3 linked regions of the Diceros bicornis minor genome follow. The protein of the gene in region 1 interacts with the protein of each later gene in a biochemical or structural test. Links are inferred from orthologs where the notes say so. Each region holds a gene or a part of one and is shown on either strand. Other genes may lie near its edges. The genes, in order: TOPBP1, RAD9A and ATRIP.

Region 1 (10,443 bases):
TTTTTAAAGATTAACCATCTATGGTGGAAAATGTAAGTGATTCCAAAACAAACTCATCAACTATCTAGGGCAAAAAGTGTTTCCTTTTAATCAAAATCAGTTTCCTTTTAAATCAAAACAAAAACTTCAGTGAGTTTTCAGTAAAACAGATTCCACCATATTCAATTCATTAAAAAATTTAAAAAGATATATACTGTTGTATATTGACTTTGTTATAAGTCATGAACACCAGAAGTGCAAGGTCTTTCAAAGTATTTCCCACACAGTGAAAAATTAAGTGTTGAAATATATATACATATAGATCATGACAGTCCTCTCAACACCTACCCTTTTGTCTTTTTCCAGGCTTGTACAAGATATGGTTACATCAGACATAACCATATTATAAACTGGATGTTCAGCTCTCGGAACACATCGCTGGTGGTGCATACAAAATATGACTACTTGAGGACCAACAATTCTGCAGCCAAGCTACAAAAAAAGAAAAAGTTTAGTAAACAGGAAAAGGCCTCCAGTCTTACAAAATTATATTTTGTAATATTTACCAATTCTTTACAGAAGTTGATGACCACTGCAGAAAAATCACCAAATTATTATAAGAAAAAAATAAAGACTATTAAATAATTTCTCAGACACACTACACATTAAATAAATACACACAAAAGCTAATAAAACAATGCAGGTTATCAAAAGAAATAAGCTTCAAGAGCCACACTCACTCAAAGTTGCCATCAAAATTTTAATCTCTGAAACACATTCTTAATAACAGAGGATATGAGTAATAGTCTTATGCTATAATAATTAGCAAATATCCATAATACTTTTCAAATGAAGCACCCAGCCAATGAAGCAGTTTAAAAGTATAGGAGACTAAATAACCCTCCTCTAAAATACTTATGTCACAAAAAAATACATAATCCTACGCAGTTTCTACATTTGTGTTTTAAAAACTTTGTCTGCAACTTAATGTCTTTCCAAGCAAGATCCACAAAGACTTCTCCTAAGATATTGCAGGTTACTCAAAAAATGACTTCTCATTTTCATTGATAATTGAGTTAAGAAAGATGACAGTCTTGCTCATCGTCAGCACATTCAAGCCAGACTAAAAAGTCTATAGTTGCCAAAGTCACCAGGGCATGACTGATTTAAATATTTACAGGGTAAATGATTACTGCTATTTTTTTGATCAGCCATAAAAAAACTGAGTTTTTGATGCTATTCATTCTGACAAAACATGTTATTTCCAACAGGAGGGTGAGACTAGCAATGCTTTTGGCTAAGGTGGGCACAGACCTTCCATAAATTGTACAGATACTGCATCTACCTACTCTTCTATGTTTTCGTCTCCTTCAAACAAGAATCACTTCTTTGTAATCTGGATGGAATTACAGCCAGTTTACTTTTATTTCAAGGCTTCTCTCTTGTCCAGACATCAAAAAAGTAATGAGTCAGTAGACTCTAGAATCAACAAAAAGAAATAAGATGGCTCATTGGTATATTAGCAATATTCACCCCCAAAATGCTTCCTTTTAGCTTACAATTTTTCAGACCCTATACAAGGTACAGGTACTAAAATTCTGCATGCAAGAGCACATAGGAAAGATGGTTAAGTACGAAGCGTTATGTGGAGGGCCTTTCCTACTCTTTACTGTTTCTCCCTGAAATATCTCCCAATCAAACTGAATTCAAGTACAGTAGAACTCTATCACTGAAATGCTCCATTACTATAGAGCTCACTTATACTAAGTGAAGTTAAATCCCCTGAAATATAAAAAGTACATATAACAAAAGCCTATTATAACATAATTAGCCTTTAAAAATATCATTCTGATCTCCCAAAACCAAAGGATTCCTCTGGATGCATAATATGTGTAATATTTCATGATCAGTAAAGAACTTACATCCACTGAAGCAAAAACAAACCAAAAAACAGATTGCCGAAGGAAAACACTAAAAGTTAGCAAACCTTTTTGAGGTGATCAAAGACAATGCCACTAAAAGGGTCACAGATATAAAGTGATCGATCATTCTCCTTTATCTTCAATGCTTCTTCTTCTGTAATAATCTGAAGATATTCTTCTGATTGGAACTCTTTTATTGACTGAAAGAAAAATGAAATAAGAATGCACCTGAAATTATTCACCTGTATTTAAGTTCTACGAATTCTATCATCAAACGCCATCTCAAATCCAGCCTTTTCCCTATGAAAGCTATCATCATCTCTCACCTAGACCTCTGCAGACGTCTCCGAAGTGGTTCCCTCTCTCTCCCTGGCCCTAAATCTGTTTTCCACACAGCAGCTAGTAATCAGGTCACGTCACTCTCTGCTCAAAAACTTCCAATAGCTTCCCACCACACTCAATGAAATCCACATTCCGACAACGGCCTACAGACCACAGAGTCTGGGCCCTGCCTATCTCCCCACCCTGACCGTCTGTCACTCGCTCATCCCTCTTGCTTAGTCTTCTCTAGCCACTCCTGCTTCTCTTCTAGGCCTGGAACAAGCTAAGCATGACCTCAGGTAGAGGCTTTGCTCTTGCTCCTGCTGCCTGGAATACTCCTCTCCCAGGTCTTCCCCTGACTTAGTCCCTCATTTCAATCAGATCTGCTCAAATGTCACCTCCTCAGAGATGCCTTTCCTGATTATGCCTTCTGAAATACCCTTTCCCTATCCCTCTAGTCTATTTTATGAAGAAAAATAACATTGATATTATGTAAATAGTGTTTGCCTTTCTCACTTATAAGAGTGACAGTTTCATGGTCTAGCGGGTTTGCCACCACATCCTGGCACTCAGTAAGCACCTGTTTTCTGAACAAATTTTGAAGTCCTTATGTTAAATAATTAGAATGATCTTTTTAAAACAATTAAGTCAGATCATGTAACCCCTCTGATTAAAACCCTCCAGTGGCTCTCCATCTCACTGAAAGAAAAAGCCCAAGTCCTTACAATGGACTACATGGCCTCTTTACTCTTATACTTTGAAGCATCCCTTAATATTCTCCTCCCATCCGTTGCTCACTACACTACAGCCACACTACGTCAGACAGACTCTCCAAGCACTTTCCCAGGGGCTTGTGTATGGTTGTTCCCTCTGCCTGAAACCTTCTTCCCTAGATATCCACATGGCTAACTATCTCACCTCCTTCAAGTGTACTCAAATATCATCTTCTCCATAAACGCTATCCAGATCACACTCTATTTAAAATTACTCTCTCCCTTTTCCTTCTGCCCCCACAAACATCCTCCAGAACCCCTTAACCTGTTCTGCTCTTTTCTCTTCCCATAGTACTTAGCACCTTGTAACATACTATATAGTCTACTCATTTATCGTGTCTGATTAATGTCTATTTCCTCTTGCTAGAACAGAACATAAGCTCTGAGAAAGTATGGATCTTTGCCTGCTCTGATCACTGATGTATCCCAAGCACTAGAACAGCGCTTATCAGATCACGGACATTCAATAATTACTTGCTGAATGAATGAACTTTAAAGAAATACCTGCTACAACAGTACTTCCTAAACTTTAATGTACACCGAGGATCACACTGAGGATCTTGTCAAAATGCAGATTCAAATTGCTAAGTCTGAGGTGGGGCCCCAGATTCTGCATTTCTAACAAACTCTCAGGCCATGCGGATGCTGCTGAGGCCTGTGAGTAGCAAGGCTCTACACTACCCTACAGCCTTCCATATTACACTGTAAAAAATGAAACATACTTTTAACAACCAGAAAATGAAGTGTAACCAGTACATGACTGACTTAAATTTTTTCAACACACGAAGGTCTACTCTGGGTAGTAGACAAAAGAAAGCAACTTAATTTTTAAGAACAGCAGGCGTGCCACTTTCAACAGAAATGTCATAATAGATTTCAAGTCCCCCAAAATACATAATAATGATATACTAACATCAATTCAAAAATATGTTAACAATGACGTAGCTATAATAATGTAGACTACAGTAAAACTATTATAAAAATAAACTAAGAATAAAAAGCCCAATAAATAAAAAACACTAAAAAAAAGATGAATTCACAGCATCAAACAAGACATTCCCAACTATTCTTACCTCAAGAGCTTTAAAAAAATATTCAGAATTGTCTGAAGACTTTAAAAACTTCACGAAAAACGGTTCTTTGTCATTTCTGGACATTTTTGAACTGTCAAAATAAAGGAGCCATTAACAAGAACGACAACACATTAGATATGAAGTGACATGTTTAAAGCACCTATTCTTCTGTGCAAACAAGAATGCCTAAGGATAGACATTCTGGCCTTGCACAGGAACTCGTCCACCACGTTTGTAAGAAACGCAGGAACGTGGGCAAAGTCAAGGAAAAAGATGAAAACACCAATCTTTGCAAATCAGAGAACGAAATTAATGTCTCTAAATTGAATACACTGAGGGCCTTTGCTATGGGGCTCTAAGCCCCCAAGCCAAAGGACATTCAATTGCACTTGGCTTAAGGATACACACAACGAATCTGTCCCTGTGGGTCTCCCCGGCCCTCGAAGCCTGTCCACCCTCGGTAAACGGACATTAATATAAACATGGAAGCCACTTAGCAAGGTCATGCCCCCTAAAAGGCCCGCCGCTCCGGCTCCCCAGCTCCCAGGGAGAGGCCTGGCTCTCGGTCCAGCCGCAGCCACAACCCTCCGGCGCCCGAGTCCCACCCGCCGGTCGGAGGGCCGGTTACCAGTGCCCCGAGGGCCAGAGGAGGGGTCGCGCCCCCCAATTGTGGTGGCAGGGAGCTGGGTCCCGCTCCGGGCCGCACTGACCTCGCCGCAGCCTGGGGGTCTTCGGGCGGCGGGTGGCGGGAGTGCGGCCCGCCGGACGGCGTCTGGGGTCGGGCGCGCCCCCGGCGCACCCCCGCCCCCGGCGGCGACCGCGGCCCGAGGCAAGCGCAGAACCCGGAAATAGCCGAGGCCGGGAACCGACTTTCGCGCCAACGCGCGGACGTGCCCGCCTCTTCCGACGGAAGTGACGCCACCGCCGCTGCGGGAGGAGGCCGGGGATGGCAAAGGTGGTGAGGGCGGCGAGTGCCGTGCCAGCCGGCGGAGGGCTGCTCCGGGGCTTGGGCCGCGTTCTCTGGGGCTCAGGGCGTTGAAGGGCGGGCCGGGCTCCGCTGGGCATTGGTCCAGGCCCCACGGCTCAGGGGGCGGGGCCGCGGGCCAGGAGTACCTTAGAGGAGGTCCCAACGCAGGGAAAAAGAAAGCCGGGGGAGAAGAGGGTTTCCTCAGTTATTACACCTGCCGAATGCCAGGCAGTGCGCGAGACCATGTGTTATCATCCAGAGCAACTCTATGAGGCAAACAGCGTTTTACCGATGTAAAAGCGGAGGCTTAGAGAAGTCAAATGATGTGTCCCAGGTCACACAGTAAGTGGTAGAATTAAGATGGCATCCACCTCTTTTTGACTCCACGGACTGGGTTCTTTCTCCTCCAATATAGCAGGAGTATAATCACCAGCTGCCACAGCCAAGAGGCCTGAAGGGAAGAAAGAAGTCAGGGTGACTTGAATTACACACCTAGTGCAAAGGGGTCCTTACCAAGATGCCGCCTCTTTCAATGAGCTTCTCATTTTCTTTCCCTGTAGCTCCCCCTGAGTGTTGGGGAGATTCTGGGATGGAACCTAATGTTCAAATAGCAGAGATCGGGGGAGAGGAGGTAAAAGGGGACTGCAGTTTTTGCTTGTTGATGACCGATGACAAACTGCTTAGTTAGTGTTTCTTCTCATTTTATTTTTGACTCTTGAGATTGAGAAGCGCATGACTCTGGATTGAGTGATGTGAGAGCTTAAGGCGATGTACCTCGATTGTTTTTATTTTTCTTTCTAGTTCCTACAGATGGCAATGAGCAGCTTGGGTCTAAGTGTGTGAGTACACCCGTGGAAGGTGAGTCAGATCAGTAACTCTGGAACTCGAAAGGCCTGTTGTTGGGGAGAAGGTGAGGAAAGGCTTAGAAATAAAGTTGTAAAAAAAACAAGACGATGCCACAGTTAATTGTAAAGGAGCGAATTTATCGTGAAGCTGTAATAGTAACTACTATTTGTAGGGTGCTTTACAGTTGACAAAGGACTCCTGCTTGCACTATTCCCGTTTACTCAGCACTCTCTAGTATGTGGGCATCACTGTCCCGTGCTATGCAGATGGGGAAAGTAGGCTCAGGGACTGTGTGACTTGCCCAGGGCCACATAGCCGGGAAGTGACAAGAGGCGGCGTGACTGGAACCCCGTGCCCTTCCTGACACCACACTGCTCCTTGTTACCTGCTCCTGCCCATCTCTGCTCGGTCAGCACTGGGGCAGGAGCCCATTCCTGACATTTCTGGGGCTGAGGAGAGGTCTCTTGAGAGTAGGAGAGTCAGAGATGCTGCTAATGAAGAGGAGGAGGATGATGAAATCAACCTTTAGCTTTTTTTGTTGTTGTTGAGGAAGATCAGCCCTGATCTAACATCCATGCCAATCCTCCTCTTTTTGCTGAGGAAGACTGGCCCTGGGCTAACATCCGTGCCCATCTTCCTCTACTTTATATGGGACGTCGCCACAGCATGGCCTTACAAGCGGTGCATCGGTGCACACCCGGGATCCGAACCCGGGCCGCCAGCAGTGGAGCGTGCGCACTTAACCACTACGCCACGGGGCCGGCCCCACAACCGTATAGCTTTTAGCAGCTGGATTTGAATAGCAGAGGAGTCGACCTCATCTTTAGAATGGGAGACCAGGTGACAGGTTCTCCCATCTGTGTCTCCACATAGGCAGAGAGAGTCTGTGTCTGTCCCCGAAGTACCTAATCTTGGGCATTAGCTAGAACAGTGGTTCTCCATCCAGTGTAGTGCCTGGACCAGCTGCATCAGCATCACCTGAGAACTTGTTAGAAATGAAAGTTCTTGGGCCCCATCCCAGATCTACTGAGTCGGAAACTCTGAGGGTGGCGCCACTGCCCTGTGTTTTAACAAGCCCTCTAACTGATTCTCCTGCACATTAAGGTTTACTTGACCCGCAGTCCTTTAGGAAAGGGTGAGAGTGGTTACGTGGGTTGTGGTCCATGAAGATTTTGGTAAAAATGAGGAATAACTGTGATGTGCTGTCAAGAAGCTGCTCAGAAAATGGGGTTCAGGGATTAACTTTCCCCTCACCTCTCTGGCATTTAGGATCACCTCCCTGAATATTTGGCACTTCTGCCACCTGGAACCAAACACTCCAGACCCTGCTTGGAGTAGGATTAAAAGGAACTTTATCTGTTTGTAGAATGAAAAAACACAGGAAACAAATATCACAAAATAGTTACTTTTAAAATATGGGTGGTGGTAATATAAGTATTTATTTCTGTTATATTTTGCTACATAGAGAAGACTTATCAAAATTAAAAACTAAACTAAAAATAGATTTTTGAGGATTTTATATTTAAGTTTCCAGAGCTGTAAATGAATAAATATGTATAAAGGGATGTATAGTTTAAAAATGAAATTAGTAAATGATCTTTATTGCTGCAGAAATAGTCTTTGCAGTGCAAAACATTTGTTTAAACTGTCATCTTCAGTAACCTGGAAGATAGAACATAGGCATACTGAGTCTTCTGAGGTGCAGGGAAGAGGAGGCAAAATAGAATGTAAGTGGCACATATTGGTTGCTACTGGCTGCGTTTAATTCAGTATTATAAGAAAGCCTAGCTCAGGGAAGAATGAGCTTGTTTGCAAGCGAAAGATAAAAGGGAATTTAAAAATCCAAAAATATGGCATTTTGCAAGGTTAGAAAAGCTGGCTGCATCTAGACCCTAAAAACAACAGATCAGTCTGAGAGAGATTTTGAGCAACAAATGTCTATTACAACCCATCCATGTAGAAAAGATCTAGTTAAGAATATGGCCCTCCCACCCAAGCTGGGTAGGCACCATCAATTGAGAGAGAGAGAGGGATGGGGCCAAGGATAGCAAATTAGTCTTGAAAATTAGTCTAGGAGAGAACTGTGTGTGTGGCTACTACCGTAGGGGAACAGCTCTGCCATGGCTTCCTGGCAGCCTTGCACATATCCGTGTAGGCAGAGGTTGGAATTGCAGCATGTCTGAGCCTCAGTCAAACACCTTGTGATCCTATTGGAACACAAGAGAGTGGGGTCCTTTAAGGAGATGCTAGCTATGAGGCCACCTCCCACTCATCTTCCTGCCTCCCCTCGGAGGCTGTCATCAGTTTCTCATCGCCTCCCAGATTCTGATGAGGTATCGGGCTTTCTGCACCACTCCCCTCAGAATAGAGCTGCAGAATATGAAACCACTTAGCTGCTGTCTAGTTTTGGCTCCTCAGCAATGGGGCTTCCCACAACAGCCTGTTTTGTTTCAGTGTCATCTTTTTTGGTATCTGGGACAAGGACCCTGGGAGCTGGCACCTTTGGCTTCTTCTTCCTTTTTGCTATCTATAGAAGTAACAAGCGATCTAAATCTAAAAGTGTCTCATGTATCTTCACCAGTCTAATCAGTCAGGCCTTGCCCTTGACCTTGTCTTATATGTGAGAGGTTGACGACTACCACATGAAACTGACTGGAAGCGAATAGATCTGAAGGTTACTGGAGTTTTGAGACAATTGCTCTATGAAAGAAACCAGAAGTCTGGAGTGTTCAAACTTTGATACAATCTTCAAGCTTGCATAGTCAGAAGTGGGTGAAATGTCATACAGCCCCCAAGGAGAACAGACTCCTCCATACCCTGTCTAGACATGGAGACAGAGGATAATGGAAAAGGAAGAACCTCCTAGAGAGAGGTGCCAGGGACCTCGGAGAGCAATGAGCAATGGAGCTACTTTCAGAGAACAGAATCTGAATCTAATCAGGCAGAGGAGCCACCCGATGCCTGCCCAGTAGGACTTCAGGGTTTGTACTGACGAGCAATGGCTATGGGTCTCCCCTCCTCTCCTTTCTGAAAGGGTTTTATTGTAGTTATTCTGTCCTTGTGCCGCCATTGTATATCAGGTGTGCAGTTGGGCAGGAGTAGGGGTGGGCAGCAGCCTGTGTTTTTAGTCCATATGTCACTGGACCATAAGGTGGATTCTGGTAGAGACCGTGTAGCAGACCCTTAGTTTCCCACACATATCCCCTCTACCTTCCCACTCTTAAACACGTTAGGAAACTTCCAACTGCCAGCACCTGTGTTTCTTTGCATGAAGGCATTTTCTGACACCAGGAGTCTGCTTTGCCACCTACACAGTAGACCAAAGGGCAAGAGGACTTATGACCCATGGAAAAAACCCTCAGTGACTGACAGGAGTTGGTGTACAAAGACTCTTGTTTGCAAGCCCCTTGGAGGGATATTCTACCCTGGCTCACATAGTTTCCCCAGTGGAATTAAGCCCTGGTCTCCACGTGGTAACTGACTTATTAATACATCCGTTGGATGCCTTATTTTCCTGGTCTCACTTCCCCATTCTCTTACCTGTGTTTCTTTACTTACTAAATAAAACATTTGAAAAGTCTTGTCTGAAAGTCTGTTTTCTGGGGGAACTCAGACTAAGAGAAAAGATCCAAGGTGTATGCTCCCCTTTCATAGTGCATGTTGTTGCTGGGAAGACGTTGCCCAGACAGGGATTCCAATTCCCATCCTCTTTGCATCTAGGTGGGGTCATGTGACTGAGTTATGGCCAATAGAATATAGGTAGAATTGATGTTTATTACTTCCAGGCCTAGTCCATAAAAAGGACTCTTATACTACCTTCCATACTTTTCCTTATTCTGGCTGTCAACACTCAGGGCAGTCTAGGAAGCCACATGTTGAAAGTGGCAGAGCCTCTCTTAGTCTGGATCTCTAAACGACTGACCAGAGCTATGAAAGTGAACTCCCCATCCCTGCCTCTCCAACAAATCACCATCACTGCTGCCAATTGGGCTTTATATCAGCAAAAGTCAACTTCTATCATATTAAACCGTTGAGATCTGGAGCTTCATCTGTTATGGCAGCTGGTACCAACCTAATCAATCCCAAACTTGGCAAGATTTGGACAAATGTTTTGCCAATTCAAAAATTGTCTCTATTATCACAAAGCCGTTGGAAAGAGGAAAGAGTGAAATTGCTCCAGAGACAAATGCCAGAGGCCACATGGAGAAGAGCATGGATTGTGGAAGCAGGCTGCCTAGTTGGAATGCCGGCTCTGACACGTACTAGTTGTCTGACCTTGGGCAAGTGACTTAACCCCTCTGTGCTTCACTTTCTTCCTGTATGAAATGGGGATGAGAATAGCATTTACCTATGGGGTTATTATAAATTAATATTTGAAAAACACGTAGCTCAATGCCTGGTACACAGTTAATGATAAATTTACAAACTCCTAATTTTCCAAAGACCATTCTTGCCATAAAGTCTTTAAATTGTTTCCTACAACACGATCTTCTACCCTTCTGCTTTGTTGTTGTGAGAGTTTGTGCCAACGCAGCAGAGATGGCTTGAGCACTTTGGATTCC
Region 2 (10,572 bases), on another chromosome or scaffold:
TGGTGTCTGTTCTGGGAGCTGGGACTGGACATGGTGTCTGTCTCCCTCTGCTGGTCCCTTAGGGGACAGCCCGACCAGGACACTTTCCCCAGAGCTGATGGTGTCCCTGTCTCCCCAAACAGTGGATGGCGAGAGTTGGGGGGTTGAGGAAAGGGCCCGGGGACTCAGGCAGGGCCCCAGCCTGGAGGAACACGACACTGCCTCCTGCGTCCCTGCAGCCCAACGCCTGCCTCCAACAGGGACCTCGAGGGGTGGTCTTAGGGAGGCCAGGTCACCTCCCTGCTGCCTTCCCCACAGGCCAGCAGGCCCCAACAGCCCCCTTCCCCTAACCCATGAATGGAGCTGTCATCCACGGATTTATCTAAACCTTTTGTGAAGCTATTTATATTTCCAGCTGAGACCACATCTTGGGGTAATGAGTTCCATCGGTGTCCCCCCCGCTGGGTGAAGCACGCTGCCTTTGATTTGCCCTAAACTTACCTCACTCACGCTCCAAGGGGGCCCTGTCACTCCAGCATGCCAGGTTGTGGCGAACAAGCCTGAGCTTCCCCCTTCCCATCCCTGCTGTGGGTTTAAAAAATTCCATCCCATTTCCCCTCCACCTCCAACCCTGAGATTGAAGAGACCTGGTCTCATCTGTGCACGGAGCCTGGCAGCGCAGGCACAGCCATTACCTCATGCCAGCCTCCGGCAGCTTGCGAGGACGGCAAGGACTCACCTTCTCCTCACGAGGCAGAGGGCACTGAGGGCCCAGAATTGAGGCACGGGCTCGCGGCAGCAGCCGCAGCTTCCCCCACACCTCTTCTGGGGGCTGACTTCTGCCCCCACCTGAGTCCTCGGAGTACTTTCCAGTCCCTGGCTTCAGCCCTTTTCTCGGTAATGTTTCTCTGGGGGGATTTTCCTCCCGGGTTCCTGATGTGGATTCACCCTGGCTTCGTCCACACTGATGATTTATTTTGACCCCGGTCCTGACCTTAGAATACTGTGAGGGTTCTCTCCAGAGATGGAGGACGGAGGTGGTAGGACAGCAATAACAAGAACAACACTGACAGTGTGTACAAGAGCTTTACAGACATCACCTGAGTTAATCCTCACAACAGCCCTGTGAGGTAGGGACCGTTATTACCGCTCCCCCAGTTTACAGATGAGGAAACTGAGGCTCAGGGAATACAAGCAGCGTGTCCACTTGCACAGAACCTGGAAGTGATGGAGCCAGGATTCAGACCTGGGCAGGCTGGTGCCCAGAACCCCACTGTCCACCTCAACAGACAACCTGAGTTCAAGTCTTGGAACCTCTCTGAATCTTATACTCCTCAGTCTTTCCACATATGCCTATGAAACCACTGCTATGTGCCAAGCTTCTTCTGGTTGCTGGGAGAAATGCCGGGGAACGGGAGAGCCCTGGGCGGGGCTTGCCTGTGTGGGCTGGTGGCACCTGGTGTGCCACAAATGCATTACAGGTGGGCAAGTAGGTAACCTCACCTGCTTGGTTACCCCAGAGTAACCCACAAACACCATTCTCTGTGTGTGCACAGCACAGCAGACTCCCATTGGAGCCTTGGCACAGGCCACTCCCTCTGGTCTGTCTCTCTCCCCTAGTGGAAGCCACGAGAACAGAGATTTTTGTCTTGTACTCTCTTTCCCGAACTTAGAAAAGTGTGTCTAATATGTGTTGAATGAATGAATTACTGAGCTCTAGGGATTCCTGTGACTTCAAAACTAACCAGTTGGGTGAGAAATAATGGCTGAAAGGAAGAAATTTCCTGGCAGATAATTATGTTAAGAGTTTGAAATGGTAACCCCCTTCTTCTGTTCCCTATCTGCCCCCTGCACACATTCACACATTCCCACATGCTTACATCCTCATGCGCTTGTAGGAGGCCACCTCTAATGTGGGTGTGGCGCAGACTGTAAGAACTTGGGGTAAGAACCTGAAGGAGCCTCTCATCCAACCCCCTCATTTTGTCAAGGAGGAAACTGAAGCTCAGAGAAGGGCCTGGACTTGCTTGAGGCTTACTGTGAGTAGGGCTAGAGCCACACCCAGGTCTCCTGACTTCTGGCACAGACCCCATATCGTCTTTGGGTCCCTATACCTATCCCTCACCTAACACAGCGTTCCTGACAGTTGAGAGGCCCCCTTCCCCCACTGCGTGTCCTCCCTTCTGGCCCTGAAAGGTGTTATTGGCTGTGCCAGCTGCAAGCCTGGGGAGGCTACTTGCCCTGATTGGAGAGCTCCCTTCCAGCCCACAGCCTGGGGGAAGCAGGACGGCCAATTACAGCTCCTCTCCAGAGCTGTGGCCAGATGAGGGGCACAGGGAAACCGGAAGGCCCCTTTGGGATCACAGCGTGTCAAGGGTGGAAGGGACCTCAATGTGCATCTCATGCCACCAACCACATTATACAGACAAGGAAACAACTGCAGAGACAGGGAGGGACTTGCACAAAGTCACACAGCGAGTCAGTGTTGAAGCACAGGCTGGAAACCCAGGACTCCTGATTCCCAGCTTTAGACTCCCTTCCAGTGTCCGAGGCCTTCCGAAGGGTCAGGTGATTCCCCACTTTTGGCAGGTGTGGGTGTGTGACTGAAGAAAGACGTTAAAAGTCCTACAGAGGGCCGGCCCTGTGGCTTGGTGGTTAAGTGCGCGCGCTGCGATGCTGGTGGCCCGGGTTCGGATCCCGGGTGCGCATCGAGGCACCACTTCTCCGTCCATCCTGAGGCTGAGTCCCACATACAGCAACTAGAAGGATGTGCAGCTATGACATACAACTATCTACTGGGGCTTTGGGGGGAAAAAATAAAATAAATAAAATCTTTAAAAAAAAAAAAAAAAGTCCTACAGAGGGCCGGCCCCATAGCTTATCAGTTAAGTGCATGAGCTCCGCTGCTGGCGGCCCAGGTTCGGATCCCGGGCACGCACCGACGCAGCGCTTCTCCGGCCATGCTGAGGCCGCGTCCCACATACAGCAACTAGAAGGATGTGCCACTATGACATACAACTATCTACTGGGGCTTTGGGGGAAAAAAAGGAGGAGGATTGGCAATAGATGTTAGCTCAGAGCCAGTCTTCCTCAGCAAAAAAAGGAGCATTAGCATGGATGTTAGCTCAGGGCTGATCTTCCTTACAAAAAAAAAAAAAAGTCCTACAGAGTCATGTCTCCCTCTCCCTCTCCCCAGGGCCTTGTTCCAAAGACCTCAGGGCCACAGGACCCTACAGCCCCACAGGGGTCAGGGCAGAGGCGTGACTGTGTGGTTATTCACGGCTTCCCCTCGTGCCTTCCAGGGAGCTTTGGTGTCTTATCTCCCGTTCCAGTTGCTCAGGTAATGGCGTGGGGCAGAGGTGGAGAAGCTGGGAAGGCTATGCTGATTTACACCGGCAGAAAAAGACAGGGAGAGAGATCCGGAGAGGAGGAGGAAAGGTAAGGACGAGAACAGCTCATGCTAGGTTCCTTTGTTTTTTTGACAGACTTGGGGGGGACAGCTATTGTCCAGGGAAGGGTGGCACTGTGGGCAGAGGCCGGAAGTTAGATTTGTTTCTTTCATCACCACACCATGCTAAGAGTGACTTAGAGGCAACTCAGCTTCATTTGGATCGCACACTTGTTCACTGAACACATACTTATTGATCATCTACCGAGGGCCAGGCCCTGTGTGGGGCCAGGCCCTGTGCGAGGCACAGGGGTACAGCAACAAAAGACACGGTCCCTGCCCTCACGTTGCTGACATACCAGTGAGGAAGACAGACATTAAATAAGTAGACACATGTATGAAATAACATTGAGTTGTGATAAGTGTTGTGTTAACATAGCAAGGGCTCAGCTGGAGAGTCGGAGGAGGGGGGATGGGGGGCAGACAAGGCCCATCTGAGGATGGGCAGCTGAAGCTGAGCCCTGAGGAAGAGAAGGAGCCAGCAAGTGGCGAGGCTGGGGGTGGGAGGGCGGCGTGAAGAGCATTCCAAGTGGTGGGAACAGCACAGAGATCCCAAGAGTGGAAAAGGATGTGGTGGGTTCAGGAAACTGACAGGGCCAGCTGGCTGCAGAGGAAGGCCAGAGACAGGTGGAGAGATGGGTGGGCCGGCTCCTGAAGGTTCAGGGTAAGGAGTCTGGATTTTATGGCAAGTGTAGTATGTGGCAACCACTGGAAGATCTAAACAAGGGAGAGGCGTGACACGATTGATGTTTTAGGAAGGTCACTTTGGTGCTGTATAGAGAGGGGACTGGAGGGGACAGGCTGCAGGCAGGAGACCCCTCAGAGAGCTCTTACAGTCGTCCATGTGAGAGATGACGGTGGCCTGAGCCAGGGTGTCAGTTGTGGAGATGGAAGAGGAGGGCAAAGTTGCCCTCTGTTTGGAAGGGGAGCAGTCAAGACTTGAGGAAGGATTGTAGTATGTGGGGTGAGGGAGAGGGTGGTGTCAAGGATGACTCCCAGTTTACTGATCTAAATGCTGGGCAGAGGTGGTGTCATTTGCACTGATCTTCCTCCCCGGAAGGGGGAAGGGAACAATAACCTCCCTCCTCACCCCCCCCCCCGGCCCCCACCCCAGTGCTCTAGAGAAGGGCCAGGCTGGAGAGCGAGGGGAGCTGAGGGCAAGAAGGAGTAACAAAGTAGGGTTCAGAATTGCAGGCCAGGGGGCTGGCCCCGCAGTGCAGCAGTTAAGTGCTCACACACATTCCACTCCCGCGGCCCAGGGTTCGTATCCCAGGTGCGCACCCACGCACTGCTTGTCAGCCCATGCTGTGGCAGCATCCCGTATAAAGTAGAGGAAGATGGGCACGGACGTTAGCCCAGGGCCCATCTTTCTCAACAAAAAAGAGGAGGATTGGCATCGGATGTTAGCTCAGGGCTGATTTTCCTCACACACACACACACACACACACACACACACACACACACACACAAATTGCAGGCCAGGAGCAGGAGAGCCAGGGACCCACAAATATGGCCTACTCCCCCCAGAGGGCCCCCCAGGAGCAAGACCAGGCCAGCCCTAAAGGAACGCAGGGATGCCCAGGGCCCTTCACAGAACCTTGGTGCTGCGGGCAACTAGAGGTCAGAGAGTCCCTGCAGGGCATTCTCTCCCACCTTACACACGTGGGGACCGAGGCCCTGGGCAAAGGGAAGACCTCCCTGCTGATGAACCCTTCCTTTTGCACAATCCAGGAGTCTTTTTTAAATGGCCCCATAAGCACGACACTACCCTCGTAAAAAAAAGTTTCCAGCGCTCCCCAGTACTGCCCCTCAACATTTGGCAGCCCCCACACCTCTGCGAGGCTCTAAGACCCACTTCTCCGTCCTCCGGGCAAAGCCCCACCACCGCTGAGCCTTTACTCTCGCTCTTCCTCTGCTAGGTACCCGCTTCCATCCTCTTCCACACAGAGAATATTTTGTTCTTCAAGGATCGATGAAGGATCCTGGAAGCCAGAATGAAGAACCACGTCCCACCCCGGGATCCGGTAGCCCGTTGCTTTAATCTCTTTTTAGCGCTGGTGGGTGCTGCTTGTGTCCGAGTCCCCGGCCCGGTCTCGGTGCGGACGATCTGGCTTCGACCCGGTATCCCCGACAACGCCCAGGAAATCCGTACTAAATCAGTGACCTAGGTGTGCTGGCCCGCACATCTCAGGCCTCCGAGCCCGGGGCTCGCTCCCCCGCACCGGGCACCTCGTGTCCTGGGGCCGCGTCCTCCATGCTCCTCGCGTTCGGGTGCGCAGCCGCGGGCGCGGCCAAACGACCCGGTCCCCAGGGGCGCGGGAGGCCGGGGGTGCGCCTGGACTGCAGGAAGCAGCAGGCACCGCCACCGCCGGGCGCTCCTCGCTCACGTGACCAAAGCCCGCCCCGGCACCGACTCCGTCACGTGACTGCGGAGCCGGCGAGCGTTTTCTCACGTGACGGAGGCGCGGGTGTGTGGACCAATGAGGATGCGGGGGCGGGCCCGTCGGGGGCGGTGCGCGCGAAGGGAACCCTGGCATCAGCGGCTGGCGGCCGGGAGACCCGGAGGCAGGCAGCGAGTCAGAGCCCGTTTGGGGGCCAGCCGCCAGTCTAGCCGCTGGCGGGCCAGGCCCGGGCTCGGGCTGGGGCGGCATGAAGTGTCTGGTCACGGGCGGTAACGTAAAGGGTGAGTCGGGGCTGACGGGGGGGGGGGGGGCGGGGGCACGTGGGACGGCCCGAGGCGCCAGCCTAACCCCTGTTTCTCCTCTCCTCCCCGCAGTGCTCGGCAAGGCCGTCCACTCCCTGTCCCGTATCGGGGACGAGCTCTACCTGGAGCCCCTGGAGGACGGGGTGAGAGGCTGGGGTATGGGGAGGGGTGAGATTACGACGGGGAGCCCTAACCTGGGCGAGTCTCGCCTCCCGTGGGCAGATTTGTCTGCTGAGTTTCAGTTTCCTCCCCGCCGTCACTGGGGCTTCAGTTTGGGTCCTGTCATCTTCCCAGGCCAGTGTGTGAATTGAGAGCGGTTGCCCTCCCTGCAATGCCCAGTGGCGGGTGGGGTGACTTGGGGAAAAAGTGAGTGTGCTGACGGCTGGGTAGGGCCCTTGGCTGTGGGAGCAGTGCTCAGGCGGACTCAGGGAAGACTTCGTGGAGAAGGTACTCACTGACTGGAAGGAGAGGGAGGATTTCTACAGGTGATGGTGGAGGTGGAGGACATTAGGGCAAGTGTGTGAGCAAAAGTGGGCCAGAGGGCTGGGCCTGTCGCTGCCCACTGACTGCATCCCTCTCCCTGCTTCTCCTGGCCCAGCTCTCCCTTCGGACTGTCAACTCCTCCCGCTCCGCATATGCCTGCTTCCTCTTTGCCCCGCTCTTCTTCCAGCAATACCAGGCGGCCACCCCTGGTCAGGACCCCCTGCGCTGTAAGATCCTGATGAAGGTGAGGCCCTTCCCTCACCTGCACAATGCCCCCCCACCGTCCCATCGAACCTCCACCAGCAGTATGTCTGCTCTGGGGCACTGAGTAATTGCTGACTGGGGAGAGAGACTATGCAGAAGCCATCCAGTGCAAAATGCAGTGAAGGGCATGATGAAGACACCAACAGAGGGTAATGGGAGATATGGAGGAGGGGATTGATCCTGCCAGGGACCTGGAGAGAGTGGTAACATTCAAGCATGTCTTTCAAGGCATTCCAGACAGGGGGAACAGCATGAGCAAGGGCCTGGAAGCGTGTAAACATTCTGCATGTTGTGGGAGCTCCTTTCCTGGTGTGACAGTGCTGAGCCGTGGTGGGCCAGGGCCTGCAGGGGACATGAGAGCTGGTTGGTGCAGGTGCAGCGCTGGGCTAATATGTTTCCCCCACTCAGTCGTTCCTGTCCGTCTTTCGCTCTCTGACAATGCTGGAGAAGACCGTGGAGAAATGCTGCATCTCCCTGAATAGCAGGAGCAGCCGCCTGGTGGTCCAGCTGCACTGCAAATATGGTGAGTAGGCAGCTGGCTGGCCAGGGAGTCCCTAGCTGTGGGGGTGGAGGTTGGCAAGGCCCACTGAGACCCTCTCTGCCCATCCAGGGGTGAGGAAGACTCACAACCTGTCCTTCCAGGACTGCGAGTCCCTGCAGGCTGTCTTCGACCCAGCCTTGTGCCCCCATGTGCTCCGTGCCCCAGCCAGGTGAGCACGCCCCCTGGCCGCAAGCTCAGCCCTGGGTCTCTCTTTTCCTTCTTTGGGGCCTCAAGGGCCCATTTAAGAAAGCACCTCTTCCATTTTCCCTACAGGGTGTCTGTGAACCTCAAAGAGTTCATCCAGCTCAGTTGGCTCTCAGGTCCTTGTCTGGCTCTTTAAGGGCAGAGGCTAGAGTGGAGGAGGGGCAGGATGCTCCCTTGCTCCACGTTCCTCACTGTCTTTAGGAGCCTGTATTCTCTACCTCAGAGGTCCAGCTTGGCTTTCTGGTCGCTCAGACCCATTCTGACTTCTCTTTTAGACAGGAGGTCTCTGGCCTGAGCAGCCTTGAAAGTCCCTAATTAATCTTTGTGGCTCAGGGGCTCAAAACTCTTCTCTGGCCTGGTCATCCTTCTGGGAATGTTCCCCATTCAAGGGCAGCCTCTCTTCCTACCTGCCCGGGCTCTAGCCTTGAGAAGTCCCCAGGCCAAGGCAGGAGGCTGGGTGGGGAGGTTGTCGTCCAGGAGGGCCGCCTGAACAAGCAGCCACAAGTAGGGTGGACGCGTTCTGGGCAGTCCGAGCACCTAGAGGCCCAGGAGGTGGGGCCTTCAATGGAGACAAAGGTCCCTGATGAAGACCAGCACAGGGAGGAATGGCTCCCCTCCTGCCCCATGCTGGACGCTGCTTGCATTTAAGTAGCCCCAAGTCTTGTTTGTTTCTTTTGGTAGCCGTAGGACATGATAACCTGAAGGTCCCTTTGGGTCCTGACAGTCTGTTTTTCTGAGTTCTATTGAGATGGCACTGCTCAAGATTCCTTTGGGTAAAGAAAGAGGGAAGGCTCTTACCTCTAGTCTGGATTTTGAGGCTTTTTTTTCTCTCTTTTTTTTAATGAGCAATTGTTTCTCTCTCTCTCTTTTTTTTTTTTTTTTTTTTTTTTTGCTGAGGAGGATTAGCCCTGAGCTAACATCTATTGCCAGTCTTCCTCGTTTTTCGCTTGAGAGAGATCGGCCCTGAGCTAACATCTGTGCCAGTCTTCCTCTGCTTTATATATGGGATGCTGTCGCCGCATGGCTGACAAGTGTTGTAGGCCCACGCCCAGGATCTGAACCCGTGAACCTGGGCCACTGAAGCAGAACGTGCTGAACTTAACCACTATGTCATGGGGCTGGCCCCTGTTCCTCTTTTTCTTATGGACAATTTCAAATACATATAAAAGCAGATGCCAGCTCCTGTTCCAATTACTTTGAGGCAAATTCCAGATGTTACTTCATCTGTTAATATTTGTCAATTTATTTCCCTAAAAGACGAGGATTTCAGGGCTCTTTCTGAAGGCCCAGTTTATAGGGACAGCGTGACTGTGGTTTCCCACCCTTGGATGGGCAGGTGCTGCCTGCCTGGTTTGGTTGGGTGCAAACAGCCCATCCTTGCTGCTGCCTTCTCTGGGCTCCACTCTTGTCTGCCCCATCCCTTGCAGTGGACTTCTCTCCCAAGACAGCCCGGGAGCTTTTGATGGGGCAGGGACCCTGTCCTGCTCACCTGGTCCTCCTCCCTGGGGGCATGCTAGGCCTGGCCCGCAGAGGTTCTCCTGGGATGCTGGTGTGTGTTCGCTGCCCTGCCTTAGATCCTCTGAGAGCAAACCCACTGAGGGGGGCTGAGCCTTGGGTGTACAGTCATGCATCGCTTAATGACGGGGATATATTCTGAGACATGCGTCCTTAGGCGGGTTTGTCATTGTGTAAACATCATAGAGTGTGCTTACACAAACCTAGATGGTAGAGCCTACTACGCACCTGGGCTGTATGGTACTAATCTTATGGGACCACCATCATATATGCGGTCCATCATGACTGACTAAGATGTCACTGTGCAGTGCATGACTGTAATGCTGTGCCCTCCTCACAGGGTCCTAGGGGAGGCTGTTCTGCCCTTCCCCCCTGCACTGGCTGAAGTGACGCTGGGCATTGGCCGTGGCCGCAGGGTCATCCTGCGTAGCTACCAGGAGGAGGAGGCAGGTAAGGGAGCGGGACACAGCCTGGGACAGGGAGCAGAGCTGGGGTGGGAGGGGGTGAGGCCCAGAGGCCCAGGTTCCTTCTGTTCCTGCCCCCACAGACAGCACCGTCAAAGCCATGGTGACTGAGATGAGCATTGGGGAGGAGGATTTCCAGCAGCTGCAGGCCCAAGAAGGCGTGGCCATCACTTTCTGTCTCAAGGAATTCCGGGTGAGGATCCCCACACCCACTTACCACCCTGTCCTCCCTGTCCTGCCCAGGGCCTCACTCTCTGCCTCTGCTCCCCCAGGGGCTCCTGAGCTTCGCAGAGCCAGCAAACTTGTCTCTTAGCATTCACTTCGATGCTCCCGGCAGGTAATTCCCAGCCTTGGGACAGGGAGGGGAGGACCCTCGGGTGCCAGGAGCCGAAGGGCCCTGACCTCGCAGGGACCCATCACCTGCCCAGGCCAGCCATCTTTGCCGTTGAGGACTCTCTGCTGAACGGCCACTTTGTCCTGGCCACCCTCTCGGAGCCATACCCGCACTCCCAGGACCTGCGCTCCCCAGAGCCCTGCCGGCCAGCGCCTCAGCTCCAGGCCCACAGGTGAGGGCGCCTCGACCTCTGGGCACCCTGGCCTGAGCCTGCTGCTTCCAGTGTCTGCACCTCCCCACCCCCCACACTTCCTGTCAGGCCCCAGCCCCTCCAGTGCTCACAGCTTCCAGAGCTTCCAGCCCGCAGGCCCAGCCTTCCGGGTCAGCTGTGTTCGGAGAACCCTCCCACCCAGGGAAGTGTCCCCAAGGTGGGACTGGCTTCCTTCTCTGGCTGAGGCCTCCCCTTCGAGCCTCCCCCAAGGCCAAGGAGGGAAAGGGCTGCCTGGAGGCAGGGGGCTGCTTGGGGTGCGGGAAACAGGTGGCTGGAAGGGCAGGTGGGTTGGGGAGGATGGGCCCAGTGTAGTTTAAGCAGAGGAAGTTTGGTCTGGCCCCCCGCCCAGCATGTCCCTGGGCCCC
Region 3 (10,504 bases), about 31 Mb from region 1:
GAAGTAATGGCAGAGTAAAACTCCACATCCTTGAGATTGAAGCATTGGGAAGTGCTAAAGGAAAGTGATGGACACCCACTGTTTTTCTTCAGAACAGCATCTTCCTCTCCTAAGAAACATCATTTCCCTACCTCTGACTATGCGATTTGAATGGGAGATAGCATCTCTTTGGTTACAGTGACTGGTTCAGGGACAGGCACCTGACTGGGTTAGATAAAATAGAGCCTTCCCCAGAATTTTAAAGCTTGAGATGAGGGAGCCCAAGTTTTCAGTCTGCTCTGGAGCCATGAAATATGAGCCCAGGAGCTTCCGGAGAACACATCCTCTACCATAAGGATGGAGCCTGTTTTTAGCATAGAGAATAAAGATGAGTTCTGGCACAGCTTGAGTCATTGGAGGCCCCAGCACACCTGTTTTTCCCAGATTTAGTTATGGAAGCCAATTTATTTCCTTTTAGCCTAAGCTAGGGAATTGAGTTTCTGATCTTCCCAAAAGCCCTAATTTAAGTCTGTTTCTGGAAAGTCTAAGCTAGTGATTTATTCCTGCCAAGACCTGCAAAGCAGAGTTTCATCTAAGTCCTTTGCTAAAACACATGCAAAGCCTGGAAGAAAAGTATATGCAATTAGCTGATACCAGAAAGTCTTTAAGACAAACAACTGTTGAAAACCTCCTCGAAGATTTACAGGCAACTTTGGTCATTGCTTCTAAAGGAACTCAGTGAGCAGACAAAGCTGATAAGCTGATGTCAGTAAGAAGCAAAGCAAATGCTCTGGGTCACCTTTTTGGAGAATTCCTTTTCTTTGTCACTGAGTGCTTGAGTTTTTTCTTGCTCAAGAAGGAAATGGGATCTTCTCTGTTCCTCTAGAATGGATTCTGTCTGATGCAGTGAGTCCCGCAAAATTTTAATTTCTCCATTTTTAAGGAGGACTTCGTCTTCCATTGCCTTCATCTGTAAATCCCAAATCAATCTTGTGACAAATTTGTAAGGGAAAATTATATATGTACTTGTTTCAACATGTTGCTGGGGAGACGGAGAAAGCACACGTGAAACATGTCCTACAGACCAATGAGTGCTCAAAATATACCCCTACCAACCAGATGTCACCATGATCTGCCAGGCCCATTCATGAGACAGCTGATATTCAGCAACATAGCTTAAGGACACACTTGTCACTTATGCATGCAGATTCTGTAGGCTCCAGTAGGTATTAAAAAATCTGGGTCACACACCTCACAGAACTAAAATTCCACATTATGTTCTTGGTTTTCCTAGGGACCTATAGATGGTCATATGAAAGATGTCTGCTTTTTTTGCAAAACTGCTAATGAAAATAGCAACCATTATGATGTTGTGTTCCTTATATAAGGCATATACTATAAATTTATCTCCGTGCTAAAACAGAAAGTTTGTGTCTCTTTTTGGATCTGGTGTACAGTGTTTCCTTTCTTGCCTTGGCTGTTAGGAATCTCAGGATTTACTTTTCTTTTTTTTTTGGTGATGAAGATTAGCCCTGAGCTAACGTCTGTTGCCAATCCTCCTCTTTTTGGTGAGGAAGATTGGCCCTGAGCTAACATCTGTGCCCATCTTCCTCTACTTTATATGTGGGATGCCTGCCACAGCGTGGCTTGATGAGTGGTGCGTAGGTCTGCACCCGGGATCCGAACTCGCAAATCCCAGGCCACCCAAGCGGAGCGCGTGGACTTAACCACTACACCACTGGGCCAGCCCCTCTTTTATATATATATATATATATTTTTTTTTTTTATTGAGGTAACACTGGTTTATAACATTATATAAATTTCAGGTGTGCATCACTATATTTTGATTTCTGTTAGATTACATCATGTTCACCAAGGATTTAGTTTATTTCAGCCTAAATTTTCTGGCTTTCTTTCCCCAGCCTTCCTCCATTTCATGGAGATGAATCTGGGCTCTTGTTTTAAAACTTTTATATATTTTATTGTACAATGCTTTATAATACATGCATAAGTGAATGAAGTAACTACAAAACCACAAATTAAGTCACTTACCTTTTCTTTAAGTTCTTTGTATTGTGCCTGAAGTACCTCTAATTCAAAATTATCTTTAACTGGAACACTTGCTCTGTTTTTCCCTGCAGGATTTTTTGACATCCCATCTAATCTGGGGACCTTATGAACATCTGTAAAAAACAGTTCCCATATACTTTTCAGGACCCAATATTTTCCCACCTTTGCCAGACAATGCTGAAAAGAATCACTCTTGAAAGCAAATTAGAGAAAGATCTAGTAAGCAATATACATATCTCCAACCTAAGAACATGATTTAAACTCATAAATGATCTTTATGAAATAACAGATCCTGCTACCCTCACCCCATCCCCCACTCAATTTTAAGAGTCTAAAGGTTGAAAGGAGCTGTGGGGATCTCACTGGTTAGAACCCTGTGATCTGTTATTCAACAATATTTATTGAGTACCTATAATATGCCAGGCACAATTTAGTCTCTAAAGGTACAATAGCGAGCAAAATGGATATAGTCCTTACAATCATGGAATTTACAGGACATTCAAAAATAATCATACAAATAAATGTAAAATTACAACTGTGATAAAAGCTGCAGAGGAGAACAAATATAGGAAAGGCTATAATAGAGGGATCTGACCCAAGTGAATGATTGGCAAGCCTCCCTAAGGAAGTGATGACTGAGCTGATAGCTGAAGAACAAGCAGGAATTAACCAGATGAATGGGGATGGGGAATGGATGGAAAGCACACTCAATGTACAAGAAACAGCAACTTGCAAAGTTTCTGTCTTGTAAGGAAGCAGAGAGAATTCAAAGAATGAAGGAAAGTCAGTGTGGCTAGAATTCAGGGAGTGGGAAAGGGACAGACCATGCTAGGCCTCGCAGGCTATGTTAAAGATTTTGATCTTTATACTAGAAGCAGTGGGAAGTCATTAAAGGCTTTCAGTAGGGATGCTCGCGTGAATCTGTGAGACACAGACAAATTTGAGTTTTGAAAAGATCACTGTGGCTGTGGTGTGAAGTCCAACTTGCAGAGAGTCAAGACTGGAAACAGGGAGACAAGGAGTTGTCCAGACTGTTGTCCAGAGGAGGGGCAATGGTGACATAGATCAGAGATATGGTAGAGATGATGCAAAGAGGATGGATTCCAGAGAAGGAATAAGAAGGTAAAGTTACAGGATTTTGAAAGGAATTAGACGTATGGTCAAGGAAACGGAGCCATTGCCTTGTGCCACCTGATGGAGAGCGGGCTAGTCATTGTTGTGCAGAACATTTGGTCATTGATGAGTGTTTTCGGAATATCTGCTTTGCCAGGCAGTGTGCTGGACATGCTGGATTTCCAGGAAATGATTGTGTGGAATTTAAGATGCTTTTGAGACATCCAAGTAGAGATGCAAGGTGCTCTCAAAACCTTTCTCTTTCTGGGAGCCCCACAAGACTTCACTCATTCCCCAACTATCACGTAAGCTCCATGAAGGAAGGGCTTTATGTCTTTTATTCATTACTAAGTGTGCTGCAGTCCCTAAGGTCTAGTCACCTAGTACAATTTATTGGTTGTATAAAAGAATAAGACTCTTTCATCTCTTGCCTCTGCCAGGCCTCTCTTATGCTCATGCCGCCCAAGGGAGAGCGTGATCTTCATTAGATCTAGAGCCTCCCAAACCCGTCACGAGAATGGGTCCCCATGCACAGGCAGTGATGGTTCCGATGGCGGTGGTAGCCGTGTTTCAAGGATCTCGGCTTAGAACCAAGAACCTAGTGGCAAACTTTAGAAACTAAAGTAAAATGTTAACCTAGTTTTCTATATTTCAAATCAGCTGTTTGACATTCCTGATACATTTCTCCTCAAAATCAAAGGACCTTTTGGGACACAACCGCTGCTTAAATCAAGCTGTTCATATATTTTAAAAAGGTGAAGGGGCAGTGTGGGTGCAAGACACCGGGGGCGACGGTCGCCCTGGGGTTCCGAAGCCACAGCCATCAAGGGGGGTCTGGCGAGGTCTGCACCACCCTCTGGGGAAAAGGCCCCGAGATGCACTCACTGAACACGTTCCGAGCCGCGGCCGGGCATTGGCTCAGGGCCTGTGACGCGAGGGTGTCGAGCTCCTCGAGATCGTCGGCGGTGAAATCCCCGTGCGCGCCGAAAGGGTCTTCAGGGTCTGGGGCGGCGGCCGCGGGGAAGCCCCGGGCCCGCTTGCTCGGAGGGTGCCCGGTGCTGGGTGGCGGGCCAGGGCTAGGCGCCGGGGGCCCGCTCCGCCTCCTGCTACCCGGCGCGGAGGTTCCAGCCATGCCTGCCGCCAGCCACTGTTCGAAGGCACCGAGCCCGGCCTGGTCGCCGCGAGACGGAGGACCTGGACCAACCGCCCGCGCGCCGCAGCTCGCCTCAGCCGCTCGGGCCACGCCCCCGATCCTAAGGGCCAATCAGCTGCCAGCCGGCGGGCGCGGAGGAATGACATACATCCGAGCGCGCCGCCGTGCTCAGCTGAGTGCCTGTCCTCGGTGGCGCCCAGCCCTCTGGGCCCCGCCGTTCGGGTACCGGCGCCTGGAACTCAGAAGGTCGGTGGCGGGAGCTCTGGCGGCGCGAACTGAGATACCAGGACTGCGGGTTTGAGGCTCACCGACCCCACCGCGCAGGTGGCTCTGCGCTTCCTCCCTGGCATCCCGTGGGTACACAGCCACGCTGGAGGAGTTCGCCCTGACATTCACAAGTGCGCACGTGAACCCAGGCAGGCAGCACTTAGGGGTTTGGTCTCTGCGACCTCGCTCTCCTCCCACCGGACCTACCTCTCACATACCCCGAGGCTCTCTTGGAGAGAGTGGGGCTGGGCGAAGATTATGAATAGAGCTGTTGTGAGCACACGGATTTGAGAACAGTAAATGTTTTGAATGTGTACATTTGAGGTACGTCTGGGGAAGAAAGGTCTAAGGAGAAGGGGGTGGGGGGAATCCTGAAAAGGGCGTGCCTGTGTTGGAGGAGGGTGGGAACTAACTGCTTAGGCTGTTAACATTCATTCATTAATTTTTCTGAGAGTCCTTGAGTGTTTTTGTCCCAAGCGCTGGTCATACAGAAATGAGTAAGGCTCAGGAGGTCAAGAAGTCTCCCTGGAAGTGGCACCTGGGCTGTCCTGCAGGTTGGGTGGGAGTTATCAAGAGTTAGCAAGGAGGCTGGCCCACAAGACTACTCAGACAAGAATACAACACCGAAGTGGAGGCCACACAAATGCCAGATAGGAGTTATCTATGGCAAAGAGAGAAGGTAAAGCTTCACAGAGGAGCAAGAATTCAAGCTGAGCTTGAGCCCGACAGGATTTTATCCGGCAGCAGTGGTGTGCAGGACGGTTAGCAGGAGCAGGCTGTTGGAGAGTAACAGGAACAAGACTCTTTTCATCCTTGCATGTTCAGTGCCAAACTTAGCCTGTGAGTGTCCTATGAATGTTTGTGAAAGCAGTAGATGAAAGGGAGATGGTTGTCAGGACCTAGAGGGTCTTAAATACTTGAGTTTAGTTTTGAGGCATTTGGTAGGTTCCCTCAGATACCTGTCCAAATGTTGAATGCGTAAGTCTTAATTGCTGCAGGTCTCTGGTCCTATAAAGAGACAGGATTATACTTCATTTGTCAGGAGGGATTAGGTTCCACCAAATAAAAAAGTAGTAGCTTACTCTCAGGGGCAGTGTGCTGGCACTGCCTCTCAGAAAGGTTGTTCTCAGCAGCCTAGGGCTGGGTGCCAGCTTCAAGGCCTCACGGGGAACACCTAAAGTCCAAAGAAGGTGCTGCGGGCTGTGTAACTTTCTGAGAGAGGACCAAAGCGGGCTTTTTTTTTTTCTTCTCTGTGGATATCAGGTACATTAGAGTCATAAAACAGGCTTCAATCTATCAAAATCTTTTCCAGTTTTGACTCAGCAAAATCTCAGACTAGTTCTAGAGCCCCTTTGAAAACACATTCTCAGAGAAAGCTTAGCATTATTAGCATTATTCCTATAATTTTATCAAGGGTCTGGAGGGGAAATCCAAAGACTTGTGCCTCTGGATTAAGTGTTTCAATACATGTGCATTTGGCATACATTATGGATGATCTCGTTTTCCAGGAATTTACTCCTTCTGGAGTCAAGGGTGGTAGATAATCAACAAATGTCAGGAGAAAAAAATGAAACGGAGTAAGAAATATTGGGACTGCCACTTTATAGAGTGGTCGGAGAAAAGCTCACTACTGTGATGTTTCAGTTCTCTAAAGGGAGGGAATCTCCACTACCACAAGAGTGACAGGCAGAATGAAGAGTTGCTGCGAACACAGTGAAGCAGGAGCTTGCTTGGAACCTAGGCCACTGTGGCTTAAGATGGATCAGGGGGATGAAGATATCAGTGGGTAGAGAGTGGCATCCAGATCCCTTAGATCTGGTCCTTGTAGGGACGCTGGCTTGTGCTCTAAGAAGGCACTGAAGAATTCTGAGCCAAGGAGAGACAGAGTGACTTTATGGTTTAGCAAGATCACTCTGGGTCCTGAGTGAAGATTAGACTGTAGGGGGGCAAGGGTAGGGGCAGGAAAACAAGTATGGATGTGATTGCAATAATCCAGGTGAGGGATTTTAGGGTTAGAATGGGGAGGTGGTGGTGGTGGTACTGGAGGAAGAATAAAGGGGCCAGAGTTAATTTTGCTGATGGGTTGAATGGGGGGTATAAGACATGGGAACCTAGCAAGGACCTTTCTGAAGCCCTAGTGGAAATGCAGACCTGGGGGCTCTGGAGTAAGCTTGGTACTTAGAGACTTTCAGGAATCTTTCCCCAGTTTTCTTCCTTTCACAACGCATATCATATGTATTTGTCCTGCTCCCCTCCCACAATAGAGAAGTTCCTTGACAGCAGGAATTGTTCACTGGTACGTGCTCAGCCTGCACACAGGAGACTCGACTTACATGAACAGATGAACAATCCCATTAAAACAAATGGCAACATGGATGTTATGACAGAGAAAGATGGGTCTTCTGTTTTTTTTATAATTTTTTTTTTCCCCCAAAGCCCCAGTAGATAGTTGTATGTCATAGCTGCACATCCTTCTAGTTGCTGTATGTGGGACACAGTCTCAGCATGGCTGGAGAAGCAGTGCGTCGGTGCGTGCCTGGGATCCGAACCCGGGCCGCCAGCAGTGGAGCGCGCGCACTTAACCGCTAAGCCATGGGGCCGGCCGGAAAGATGAGTTTCTTTCCAAAGTACAAATTCTTCCACTAACCTCATGTAATGTATTCTGTTGAGTATACAACCAGACAGAAACAACAGCCATTTGAAATGAGCTGGTTTAACTCCAGGTGGTACAGAATTCGGGATAGAACAAAGACTGAAGAACACTGGCAGGATTCTGGGCTGGGTTTACTCTGACCTCACAGCTAAGGTAGAAATGGCTGAGTGAGAAGAACTAAATAAAGACGAGTCACTGTATGATTTTTTTTTTTTTACAAAATTTATTCTTAAATGTACAACAGGCTCCAAGACAACACTTCATTCTAATTATAGGTGGCAACAGATGTTATGGCAGGGAATCCAGATGTTTAAACAGGAATGGAATTAACAATCACCACTGCCTCAGGCACAAGGAACAGCTTACTTTTTCCCCGATTTCTTAATTCCACCTGTGGCTGAAAAAAAAAGGAAAAAGTCTCAGCTAGGGAAAAATACCGTTCTTATGGTAGACGCCCCAGGGGCTTGATATGAATCCCAGTAAGGCTCAGCTCTTGTACTGGGCATTCTTTGTGACACAAGCATGCACAGGGCTTTACCAATATTGTCTACTCTGGGCAAATGCAGAATGAGGATGAGGCAGAGGCACAAGTAATGGCTGTGCACTGGTCTGGATCTACACTGTGTTGTGTGTTTCACAGATTGGCTCATTTAATCCTCATCCCCTATCAACCCATTTTACAGATAACAAAGTCTTAGCATTAGGTGTTGTTCAAAGTTATAAACTGGTATGTGACAATGCCAGGATTCGAAGTCTGACTTTGAAGTCCATATTCTTAACCACCACATTACACTACACTACCTTCCATATTATAATCCTGGGGTCTGGTTTAGCCAATACTTTATTTTACCCAATTCACAAATGACTATATATTTTGCACACAGTAGATAATATAAGAAATAGTTGTAGAGTTAAGTATGCCTAATACAGGAATGAAGATCCTAAAGAGCTGTGACAAAATAAACCTTAAAAAATTAGATGATGCTCAATGAGAATCAAGTAGTGTAGGATTTCACTAAGGACTGACCTCCCTATACATAATCACAAATTAAGAGGAGGTACAAGATACCTTACATCATTCCCAAAAGGAATCTCAATTGCTAGAATCTCAGCGCTGTGTGGGTAAGCAATAATGAATCAAACCCACTGCGATAGAGGTCTTGGGAAGCCCTGGATGACACTCACACCATCCCAGCCTCCATTGTCCCCAGTGTGCCTCACAGTAATCCAATAAGGCATAGACAACTGTGGAGGAAATAATCACTAATTTGATGAATGTAAACAGGATTTAAGAAGCACAGAAAGTACTGGAACTGTTGGGACTGAAAAATCTTTTGATATGTAATCAATTCCTCTTACATAAAGAAAAACAAGAGGCAGAATGGTCAGGAATTAGATTAAAAAAGCATATAGTGCAATCACGCCAAGGTGCCTGGACCTTAACCTTTAGTCTAGGTGCATCCTGAAGCGCAGACTCAGGATGCAAAAGTATTTACTAGAGTTAACAGTACGACTAGTAAGTCAAGAAATATTATAAGCAATAAAGAAGCAGTGAAATACTAATTTGGGGCAAGAAATTGTGGAGGATATTTGGAAACTCAACTGTATGAATGTGCCTAAGATATATTAATTTTTATTTCCATTTCTGCCGCTTCCCTAAAGAAGGGAAGCCCAAACTCCCTGGGAGGCAGGAGACTTCCTTTCCCCTTTGCTCCCGCCGCTTCCTGTTGCTGTGAATCCAAGCCTGGCTAGGGCCGTCCGCCGCAGCGGACACGAGGAACCGAGACCTCGCAACTCACCAACAAGGCAGGAAACCGACCAGCCCGGGCCCGCGTCCAGACTGATGCTCGGAACGTTTGTCCAGCTTGAGCTCTACCCGGCCCTCACTCACCCAGGGGGCCCTTCCCCGCCGCCTTCGCTTTTAGCTCCTCGAGTTTCTTCTGCTCCTCCTTCTGTTTCTGCTTGAATGCCTTATCTTCCTACGGAGAGGCAGAGCGGGTTCACTCCAGGCGGGTTTCCCAGTCCCTCCGCGCCCGCCCACGCCTCGGCGCCCGCCCTCACCTCATCCATCTCCTTGGCCTGCTTCTTGGGCTGCTTCAGAGGCTTCTTCTTGCCACCTGTGGGCGACACGAGCACGCTCAGCCCGGCGCCCGCCGGCTCCCGCCCCTTTCTGCCCCACCACGTCGTCCTCGCACACTCACCTTCGCGGCCGGACATGGCGCCTGCCGCGCCTTCCCCAGACTCTGCCACCCGAAGCGGAGCTCCCTGTCCCACCCCCGCGCCTATACCTCCACGCGGGCCCGCTGATTGGCTCCCAGTCCGGAAGTTGCTCTCCCATTGCCGGAAGCGGCCCTCCGAAGGCGGGCCCTAGAGGGTCAGAGATCAACTGAGTGGCGGGTGCTCCGTAGGGTTGCGGCTTCAGCGCTAGGCGCGCCAGGTATGAGGGGGAGGGTCGTCCTGCCGGGGCTGCGGTGGGGGAGGAGGGGGTGGAAGCCAGGAGGGGTGCCAGGTCTGGGACCGTGCACGGGGAAAGCAGTGGGGCTAGAGGAAAGGGCAGGTGCAAAGGCCTTGAAGCTTGGCGTGTTCCTGGAACCGAGGAATGCACAGCGTGGCTGGAGCGAGATGCGAGGGAGGTGGCAGAAGTGGGAGGGGGCCAGATTACCTGGTCCTAGAGCTTTGGAGGCCACCGGAAGGAGTTGGGTTCTGTAATATAGTCCTGGTGCGACTTTGGCAAATTCTGTTTATTCATCCAATACATTTTTGTTGAGTATGTACTATGTGCATCTAGGCACTGAGGATGCAGCAGTGAACAAAACAGTGCCTGCCCTGGCAGAGTGGACGTTCTAGTGGGTGAGACAGACTATAAGCAAGTAAATAAGTGAAATACATATCGCAGGTCATGTGATATGTGCGGGGAGAAAAATAAAGCAGACAAAATGGGTAAGGAGTGATGGGGTGGATGACAATGACACTTGAGCAGGACTTGAAATCAAGGGGAGGGAGCAAACAGTACACAGATAGCCAACGGCTGGCATGAAGGCCCTGAGGTGAGAGAGACTAGTGTGTTCCAGCAATATCAAGAAGGTCCATGCATGGTAATTATGTGAGGAGAGGTGTTAGCTAACCTTATTGTGGTAAACGTTTTGCAATACATATGTCTATCAAATCATTCCATTGTACACCTTAAACTTATACAATGGTATATGTCAATTATATCTCAATAAAGCTGGGGAAAAAAAGGTCCACTTGACTGGAGCAGAGTGAGGAAA

What was found.
Region 2: the proteins of TOPBP1 (region 1) and RAD9A form a complex in vitro, tested with the Homo sapiens proteins (4 studies listed by BioGRID). The link is inferred for Diceros bicornis minor from reciprocal best matches to the Homo sapiens genes TOPBP1 and RAD9A.
Region 3: the proteins of TOPBP1 (region 1) and ATRIP form a complex in vitro, tested with the Homo sapiens proteins (2 studies listed by BioGRID). The link is inferred for Diceros bicornis minor from reciprocal best matches to the Homo sapiens genes TOPBP1 and ATRIP.

What each region holds. Positions count from the first base shown.
Region 1 is NC_080741.1:18,705,619-18,716,061, reverse strand, and holds the start of TOPBP1 (DNA topoisomerase 2-binding protein 1), read right to left. Parts: upstream 4,869-10,443; 5' UTR 4,779-4,868; intron 4,160-4,778; 5' UTR 4,153-4,159; coding exon 4,069-4,152; intron 2,102-4,068; coding exon 1,967-2,101; intron 1,459-1,966; exon of another isoform or gene 1,329-1,458; intron 472-1,328; coding exon 328-471; intron 1-327. UniProt on the Homo sapiens protein: Scaffold protein that acts as a key protein-protein adapter in DNA replication and DNA repair. Composed of multiple BRCT domains, which specifically recognize and bind phosphorylated proteins, bringing proteins together into functional combinations.
Region 2 is NC_080770.1:6,136,577-6,147,148, reverse strand, and holds the start of RAD9A (cell cycle checkpoint control protein RAD9A), read left to right. Parts: upstream 1-5,956; 5' UTR 5,957-6,076; coding exon 6,077-6,110; intron 6,111-6,203; coding exon 6,204-6,274; intron 6,275-6,729; coding exon 6,730-6,858; intron 6,859-7,286; coding exon 7,287-7,401; intron 7,402-7,488; coding exon 7,489-7,588; intron 7,589-9,478; coding exon 9,479-9,588; intron 9,589-9,685; coding exon 9,686-9,795; intron 9,796-9,874; coding exon 9,875-9,939; intron 9,940-10,030; coding exon 10,031-10,168; intron 10,169-10,572. UniProt on the Homo sapiens protein: Component of the 9-1-1 cell-cycle checkpoint response complex that plays a major role in DNA repair. The 9-1-1 complex is recruited to DNA lesion upon damage by the RAD17-replication factor C (RFC) clamp loader complex.
Region 3 is NC_080741.1:49,798,654-49,809,157, reverse strand, and holds the start of ATRIP (ATR-interacting protein), read right to left. Parts: upstream 4,370-10,504; 5' UTR 4,295-4,369; coding exon 4,048-4,294; intron 2,163-4,047; coding exon 2,032-2,162; intron 950-2,031; coding exon 779-949; intron 1-778. UniProt on the Homo sapiens protein: Required for checkpoint signaling after DNA damage. Required for ATR expression, possibly by stabilizing the protein.